Linked DNA regions of Sus scrofa. The protein of the gene in region 1 purifies or fractionates together with the protein of each later gene. This does not show direct contact. Links are inferred from orthologs where the notes say so. Each region holds a gene or a part of one and is shown on either strand. Other genes may lie near its edges. The genes, in order: UBXN2A and PPP1R11.

Region 1 (4,315 bases):
ATAGAAAAGTCTTTTGCCCTAAGGAATCAAACTCCTTATTGGGAGCTTCAATAGACAAGTTTCTAGAGAATTGGCTGAAAGTTGAACTCACCACAGGATTCCGGAATTGCACAACTGAAAGACAAGTTCCAAAGATTCACAGGGTGCCTTTACTTAGGTGGGAATGGCAGGGGTCCTTAGGTGAGGTCCAATATCAATTTGAATTCCAGCACTAAAAACTGTCAAGTAAGAACAAAAACTGATTTAGGCAAATTAAGAATATATTTGAAAGGATTATTCCAAGGAGGGTGGGGCGAGGGTGGGATGGGGGTGGGAAGAGACTATAAAAATACTGCTGGAGTACAATTACAATTGGGAGAATATCCAATTATACGCAAATAAATAAACTTTGGGTTTAGATAAAGACTTTATTGGATAGGATTATGCCGAAAAAAGGAAAAGGAAGTACTGCAATGGGGGGGGGTGAGGGACAAACCTTGTTAGAGGGGAGCTCTGTGACCATGACCCTGAGATCAGCAACTGTGGAAAAAACTGGGTGTGGTGCACAGTGGGACAGACAGGTGGAGATAGCAGTGATAACACAGACGATCAGTGTTTTGCATGGAACTCAGCCTATTTTAATGAGCGGTGGTGAAGGAGGGTTTGTATGCTGGATTAGGCTGAGGGTGGGTCAAAGTTTAGGAGCCTGGAGGAAGGAGAGAACCTTAACTTTGGTCAAATCCAGGGAGCCAGTGGGGGAAAAAATGTAATCGTAATGTATACATGTAAGGATAACCTGACCCCCTTGCTGTACAGTGGGAAAATAAAATAAAAAAAATTATTAAAAAAAAAAAATCCAGGGAGCCAGTATTTTGTCCAGACTGGTTAGTGAGTATAAGCAGTTCAGCTAATCCTTTGTGAAGCAAAAAGAATGGGGATTTGGAGGGTCTCTGTCAGGCCTCGTCCAAGGTAAACAAGGGGGTATCCGTGAGTCTTATCTAAATCACAACGGGGAAGGGAGGCTCCTCGCTGTCAAGCCTTTCAGGAACGTGGAAAGGTGGGGGGATTTCTTTAACCGTGGCTTTCCAGAATCACTGGACTCAGGGAAAGTTCAACATGGTCCGAATACAGAGAAATCTCTCCGCGGATTCAACCAGAAGCTGAAGAGGTAGACAGGTAAGTTGATGCTGAGTTCTCGGGTGAGCCCACGCCTAGCTCCCTGCATTTTCCGAGCAGGGTGAAGAGGCCACCACCAGCAGCGCCCGCAGCAAGGAGGCGGCCGCCATGAGGGCGGTAACGCTGAGGACCGACGCGGCCGCTGCCGCCGGCCCCGCCCCCCGCGCGCGCCCCCGCGGCCGGTGCGCGCGCCCGGGTCTGCGCAGCACCGGCCTCGGCGCGATCTCAGAGCTCAGCTGCCGGCTGCGGTGACCGTGGGAGGCAGGAGGGGGCCCAGCGGAGCGGCTGCCGAGCCTGAGAGGATCTGGGGGCGGCGGTGCTTCCTGTCTGAGTGGCTCCAGCCCAGCGGCAGGGGCGGCGGCGGCGCCCGCGGCCCCTGAGCGAATTGAGGAGGCCGCGAGGCGACGGCGCGGCGCGGCCCCCTCCAGCGGCCGCGCCCGGAGGTGAGTTTTCAGGGGCCGCGCCGCGTTCGGCCGGGTGAGGGGCGTAGGCGGGCGGGCGGGCGTTTCCCCAGCGGGGCGCCGGGGATCCTGGGGCCGCCCAAGCCGCGGGGCCCTTTCCTTGTCTCGGTTTCGGAGTCCGTGTCTGCGACCCCGAAAGGGCGGCCTGGGCGGGACTCCTGCCCAGCGCAGGTGAGGCGCGGCTCTGGGCCTGCGGTCTGCGCGTCTTCCCGAGCGGCCGACTGCGGGCAAGCGCAGCGCTTTGAAACTTCCAGTTCAGTTCTCAGAATGCAAACGCACAGTACAGAAATGCAAAGCGTGCCTGTTTGGGGCGAACATTCCTTAGGTAACCTCAATACGTGGCTCCCGCAACCTACGTTTTATGGTGTAGGCTTGCTCTTCGTTGTTTTCACATCTTTTTTTTTTTCCTATGTATCCATTTTTCTGGTTGTTTGAAGTTACTTGTTAGCAATAAGGGACGTTAGTGTGGCATCCAGCGTTGGTTACTCTGTACTTAATGTGAGATCATTGAAAATAAAACGTAGAAAATTGACAGTCTGTATTTATGTCGACGTGGAACTGTTACATATGACAGGTTGTGAACGACGTGAAAACCAGCTTCCTTGTTTCACAGTCGTGGCTTAAGTGTTCTGAGAGCTGTTCATAAGGTTTTTATTTATATTTTAGTTTAAATGTGAAAAACTCTTTAAAAAAAGTTGATCTTGTGACTTCTAAATATGTTGTAAGTCATTATTTTAAATTTAATTTTTTGGAGTAAAGTTAATTTACAATGTTGTATTAGTTTCAGGTGTACAGAACCAGTCATAGAAAAGTCCATTCTCTTTTCCTATATAGGTTATTTCAAACTATTGAGTAGATTTTCCTGTTCTACACAGTAGGTTCTCGTTAATGATGTGTTTTATACAGTACTATGTATCATGTAGATTTAGAAAGCAATTAAATCCGATGAATAAAGTTAGATCTAGGAATTGGTGAAATCCAAAAATGAGTAAGATTTGTGTGCAGGATGGAGAAAGTGATTAAGCACACAAATAATAATGATGCAAGACAGAATATGGTATTTGTTAATTATGTATTGAGCACTGACTCTTAACCTTGGCATGTGGTAAATACTATACATGTATACTTAATATTTAATGTTAATTACTTAGTTTTTCATTCATTTAGTACGTATTGTGTGTTGAGGTAAGAATATGTGGGTGATGATTATAGGTTTTGCCTTTAAGGACTCTACATTGTCATTGGAGGAAACAAGGTAAACAAATAATCCCACAAGTAAATGCCAGTCAACCTAGAGAGAAGGTAAAAAGGAAGAATGTAGGGTGTTATGAGAGTATGTAACCAGGGTACCTATCCCAGCTGAAGAAATCAGTTGTTTTTTCCTCGGAAAGGAATCTTTGAGCTTAGTTATTAAGGATAAGTAGGAATTGGGTGACTCCCAGAAAAGGTTCAGGCAAAGGAAATCAGTTCCACAGAGGCTTGGGAAGATTGGGGGAACTGAATGGCAAAGCAGTTGGATTGAGTGTAGAAAGCAAAAGGGGCCTGTAGTTAGGGCCAGAGAGATTATGTGCGTCCTTCATACAATGTTAAAGATTTGGGACCAGCTTTTTTTTTTTTTTTCCTCCCTTTTTTAAACTTTTATGGGGAAATTTTCAAACCACTCAAATGTAGTTAAGAGAACATTGCAGTGAACTCCCCTTTAATTTTATCCAGAGGATGTAGACCTTATTTGAAGAGTAATGGGAGGTCACTAAAGGGTTTTAAACAGGAAAGCCCCATAATCAAGTTTGTATCTTAATCAAAAAGGTCACCGTGACTCCTCTGCAAATTGGATGGGGACAAGAATGGATGTGGGGAAACGCCCTAGAGATGATAGTTGGGATTAGGATTGTGGCTATGAAGGTAGGGCAGATTTTTAAGAGTACGTACTTAATCTCTCCCTGCTGTGTTAGTAATTCTGTATTCATGCCTTTTGGAGGAATTGTGAAAGGTTTTCTAAAGCAGTATTTGAGATGGATTTTGCAAGGTAAATAGCATTTCATAATGGAACCCTGGAGTGAGCATGTCATGGTGTCAAAGGCTGGCTAGCTCAGCAATCTTGATTGTTTCTGCAGAAGTTTCCCCTTTCTCCTAAGATTTTTGCATTTAAAATACTTTTGTTACTCAGCCATAAAAAAAAATAAAATAAAATAATGCCATTTGCAGCAAGATGGATGTAACTAGAGACTCATACTAAGTCAGACAGAGAAAGACAAATACCGTATGATATCACTTATATCTGAAATCTAATATATGGCACAGATAAACCTTTCCACAGAAAAGAAGCTCATGGAGTTGGAGAACAGACATGTGGTTGCTGAAGGGGGAGGGGGAGGGAGTGGGATGGACTGTGAGTCTGGGGTTAATCAATGCAAACTATTGCATTTGGAGTGGATAAGCAATGAGATCCTGCTGAATAGCACAGGGAACTATATATCTAGTCACTTATGATGGAACATGATGGAGAGAAAGAATGTGAGAGAAAGAATGTATATTTTGTGGGGGGGTCACTTTGCTGTACAGTAGAAATTGACAGAACACTGTAAGCCATCTATAATGGAAAAAATAAAAATTGTTATCAAAAAAAAACAAACAAGCAGGAGTTCCCATCGTGGCTCAGTGGTTAACGAACCTGACTAGTATCCATGAGGACCTGGCTT
Region 2 (3,910 bases), on another chromosome or scaffold:
GCAGGAGAGGAAGGAAAGAGCGCCCTGAGGTCTCTCATAAGACCTCACAATCCCACAGGCCAGGACTAAGAGTTAGCATTATGTAAAGACAGCAGTGGAAGAGCTCTAAGCCAGGGGTAACAAGCGTAGCTGGGCCGAGGTTGCCTGGAATCTGACTAGGACCCTGGCAGTGAAAGCTGGGGCTGTTGGAAACCCAGTTTAACTGTTTGGGACTCAAGTGGAGAGTGCATGGGGCCAGGATAACTGGATCCCAGGACAGGCAGTTTGGCAGTGAGAACAAAGGGAAGAGATTGGGACCAAGATGCCTGGATCCCTGGAGAGAGGAAGCTGGGTACTGGGAAGAGAAATGAGGACTCAGAGAACCCAGAAGCCTGGGCTCTGGAATAGCAGCAAGTCAGAATTCCGGGATCTCTGTCCACCCTCCTCTCCTGTTTCCTTCTATCCGGAGAGGGGAGGAAGGGGCTGGAGAAGGGATCAAACATGGGTTTAGTCCCCAAGGAGCCACATGAATACATTCAGGGCCAGACAGACACAGGAATGGTGGGGGAGAGAGGAATTTAGTGCTGCATTGGCCCTGGAGGGGGCTGGGAGGGGTCGGGAGGCTGCGGAGGGGTGGTGGGGCTTGGTCCCGGGGTTGCACGACGCCGTCCTTTGCGGTGGCCCCGTACACAGTGTGTATGACCACAGCCCTCCTCTTCCTCCTCATCACTCTCCGTGGAACTCTCGCCAAAAGCCCGAGGTTTCTCATAAATACAGCAGCCTGGATTTGAAAGGAGGAGCCCAGTTAAAAAGGAGGAAGAGTTACCTTCCAGGATCCAGCAGCCCTGGCTCACACCCTGGGACTCAAGCACCCAACTCCCTCGTCCTTTCCAGCCAGGAATCTAAAGCTCCATTTCTCCCATTTCAGATATGTCCTGACTTCAGGCCTTAGCACATCCCAGTTCAAGCCCCTCCTGACCTCCTTCCCTCTAACTCTAACCTTCTCTCCCTGACACCAGAGAATCCCCCAGACAACGACAGAATTGTGAGCACCTGCAGGCTTCAGGAAGGCCAGTGGATGTGACAAGGTAGAAGATATGCTCAGGGGAGCCAGGACTCCAGGGTTACTGTGGGCCAACAATTACTCACATTTTGATGAGCGGCGCCCCATGTGTTCGTTGTCCACAGTGTCACTCGTCCATTCTACCTTTTTCTCTGGCTTCCGTTTCCGAAGTTTGATGGTTAGGCTCCGGTTCTCCTGGAAGGTAAGAAGGATGGGCTTACCTATCGAATCCCCTCCCACTAACCTTTCCCCCTACCTCCCGGGGCGGGAGCTGGGGGGGGGGGGCTCCTCTCTTCCCTTTCCCAGCTCAGTCAGGATCATGGACCTAAGGCCAGAGGAGCTGAGGGCTGGGAGAAGATAAAATAGAACAGGTTTTGGACCTCAGGGTGTCCCTAGAGGAATCGTGACATGTTATCTCCTGTTCTTGGTAATCACTAGTATACAGAGAAGACACAATTCCTAACCTAGGGAAGGTCCCAGCAAATCTTCAAAGGAAAATATAATCCTCGCTGTTTCTCCATCTTCCTCCCCAAATCATCCTTGGTGGTATTAACACATGGAAATTATTTCCTCAGTCACCGATGCCTACTCTTTGATCTCTTTCTTTTTCCAGACCCCCTATTCTTTTTCCCATTAAAGAAAGAACTCTGTTCTCACCTGTCTCATCCTCAAGCCCAGCACTCCCCACCTCTTATCCATCTATTCTCCACCATCCTGACAGCTCCAATTACTATTACTCTAAACTCCCTTAATTCAAGGGTTATGAAGTTCCATACAATCTTTTCCCAATGAAAGCAACTTAACCTGTTTTGGCAAAAATGCTACATTTTTCTCTATTTACATCTCCGCTGGTTTCTCAAAATACTATCTTCATCTCCCTTTTCTTGTTCCCTCATTCTTTTGCTTCCTTTCGCATTCATCCCTTCAACGAATACTTATTCATAAGCATGCTTCCAGTCAAGTTCCCCTGCAGCTGGCCTCCAACCATGCTTTCTTACACAGCCCTTCATTTCCCCCAGCACCTCCCTTGCTCCGTAATCTCCAAGTTCCCGTTCTTTCTTTACTTCTACAAGCCCCCCTCCCCCAAGCAGCATCACCTACATCCTAACTCTATATATAACACGCTTCTCGACCAGCCTTCTGCACCAACTCTGACACACCAAAAATCCCCAATACCTTGCGATTCTCACAACCCCACTCCTCCCACATCCCCAGGCCCAGCCCCTCCAGCAACTCTCCAAAGCCCTATCCCTTCCCTCCCGGTAGCTCCCCGACCCCTAAACAGCACCGCCCCCCGCCTTTCTCACGGGCTCGGTTGTCACGGTAACCGTTGTCTCAGTGACGGTCTCACTCAGCCCGGCCCCTGCCTCCGCCATGGCTAAGGCTGAGGAGAGGAAGGAGGGGAGGAAGGGGGATGAGGCACCCTTCTCTCTTTTCTGTGTCTCTGAGGTCTAAGAGAATCCGTATCGGATTCAGATTAGTAGCCAGGTTCCTCCACCTTCTTTTTCCCCCTCCTCCTGGGCCTCCGCTGCCCCACCCCTGGGGATAACCTGTCCAACCCCACTTCCGGCTCTCCGCTTCCGGGTGTGACGCGTTCTGTGGTCCCCCTTTTCCCTTCCTGGCACTAAAGGCGTCAGAGCGCAGGGTCGCGGGATTAGTTCCGCCGTAATGTGACAGTGCGCAGGCGCCGCAAGGAGGCGACACGAATTTGGCGGAAGAGGCGTCCCTGAGGTGTGGGAGCAGGGGCGGGGCGATCAACGGCAAGAACCCGTTCCTGCACCGCACCACGGCGAACGGCAAGGGTAGCGATGACTTGCAGCTACAAAGTGGACGCTGTACCTGGTTTAAACATCCTGTGGCTGAGCCCCCAATCACCCCCCATAACCCCATATCCCTTGGGGTGTGTGGGAGGGCGAGGAAAACCAAGGGGCAATGACAATGCCTGTCCTCCTTTCCTTATTGTTTCGTCTGGGAACTAGAGAATGGGGACCCAGGGGCAATTGGAAACACACTTGATTAAGACTCTGGGTTTTAATCCTCGCCCTGTGACTGCAGGTGTTCGAGCAGGGCACTTAATGTCCCTTCAACTTGTATTTTTTTTTCCTGTCACTATCAGAACTTGAAGATGGAGGAGCATAAAACCCTCAAGATTCTGCCTTTTAGCTCCCGGTCTAGTGGGAAAGACTGGCATAAATACTAACAAAAATGTAAGTCACTGGACTATTAACATAAATGTAAGACTTACCTATGAAACTGAGTTACTGCCTACATTTGTCCTGGGGGGGGGGAAGATGAGTAAGATTAAGCACAGAAATGGTCATAAATTGTAATACAGACCAGTTTATGATGAGACAAAAAATATGTGCATGTTTCTCAGGGAGCAAAAGAGCGGTAAAAAGAGAACAAGAAGACAAATGAGTTTTTTAGGTAAAGAAAACAACCTACAAAGTCGTAGTTGCTTGCACGGAAGGAAACTCACTTTTGTACTGTGGGGACGTGAGGGGCGTGCCAGACAAGAACTGATGGGTGGGCATGGCCACACGGGAGGCCCTCCCTGTGTGCTTTGCTAAGAAACCGGGGCTTTACCCAGTCAGCGTTATAGACTAGGGAAAAGTTTAAAGTAGGGTAGAAACAGGAACAGGTTTTTTTTAGATTTCAGGAGTACGGCAGGAAAGTCAGCTACCACAACTGGTTAAACGTAGTGTGGAGGACTGCCCGGCTCATTCCTCTAAGCTGTTGTGGGGTCAAATAAGTGTATGTTTGAGACTCCTAATATATAAAGGGCCACACAATTACAAGATAATCATTACCATTATTTAAACCAAGAAATGCAGGAATATTGATTCCCAGACATTTGAAATTTGAATG

Evidence for each region.
Region 2: the proteins of UBXN2A (region 1) and PPP1R11 purify together in Homo sapiens (affinity purification with mass spectrometry; 3 studies listed by BioGRID and IntAct, counting the BioPlex papers as one, with this or other methods). This does not show direct contact. The link is inferred for Sus scrofa from reciprocal best matches to the Homo sapiens genes UBXN2A and PPP1R11.

The regions. Positions count from the first base shown.
Region 1 is NC_010445.4:114,711,200-114,715,514, reverse strand, and holds the start of UBXN2A (UBX domain-containing protein 2A), read left to right. Parts: upstream 1-1,329; 5' UTR 1,330-1,598; intron 1,599-4,315. UniProt on the Homo sapiens protein: Acts to repress the ubiquitination and subsequent endoplasmic reticulum-associated degradation of CHRNA3 by the STUB1-VCP-UBXN2A complex in cortical neurons.
Region 2 is NC_010449.5:22,632,582-22,636,491, reverse strand, and holds PPP1R11 (protein phosphatase 1 regulatory subunit 11), read right to left. Parts: upstream 2,419-3,910; coding exon 2,350-2,418; intron 2,270-2,349; exon of another isoform or gene 1,742-2,269; coding exon of another isoform or gene 1,700-1,741; intron 1,238-1,699; coding exon 1,129-1,237; intron 761-1,128; coding exon 558-760; downstream 1-557. UniProt on the Homo sapiens protein: Atypical E3 ubiquitin-protein ligase which ubiquitinates TLR2 at 'Lys-754' leading to its degradation by the proteasome.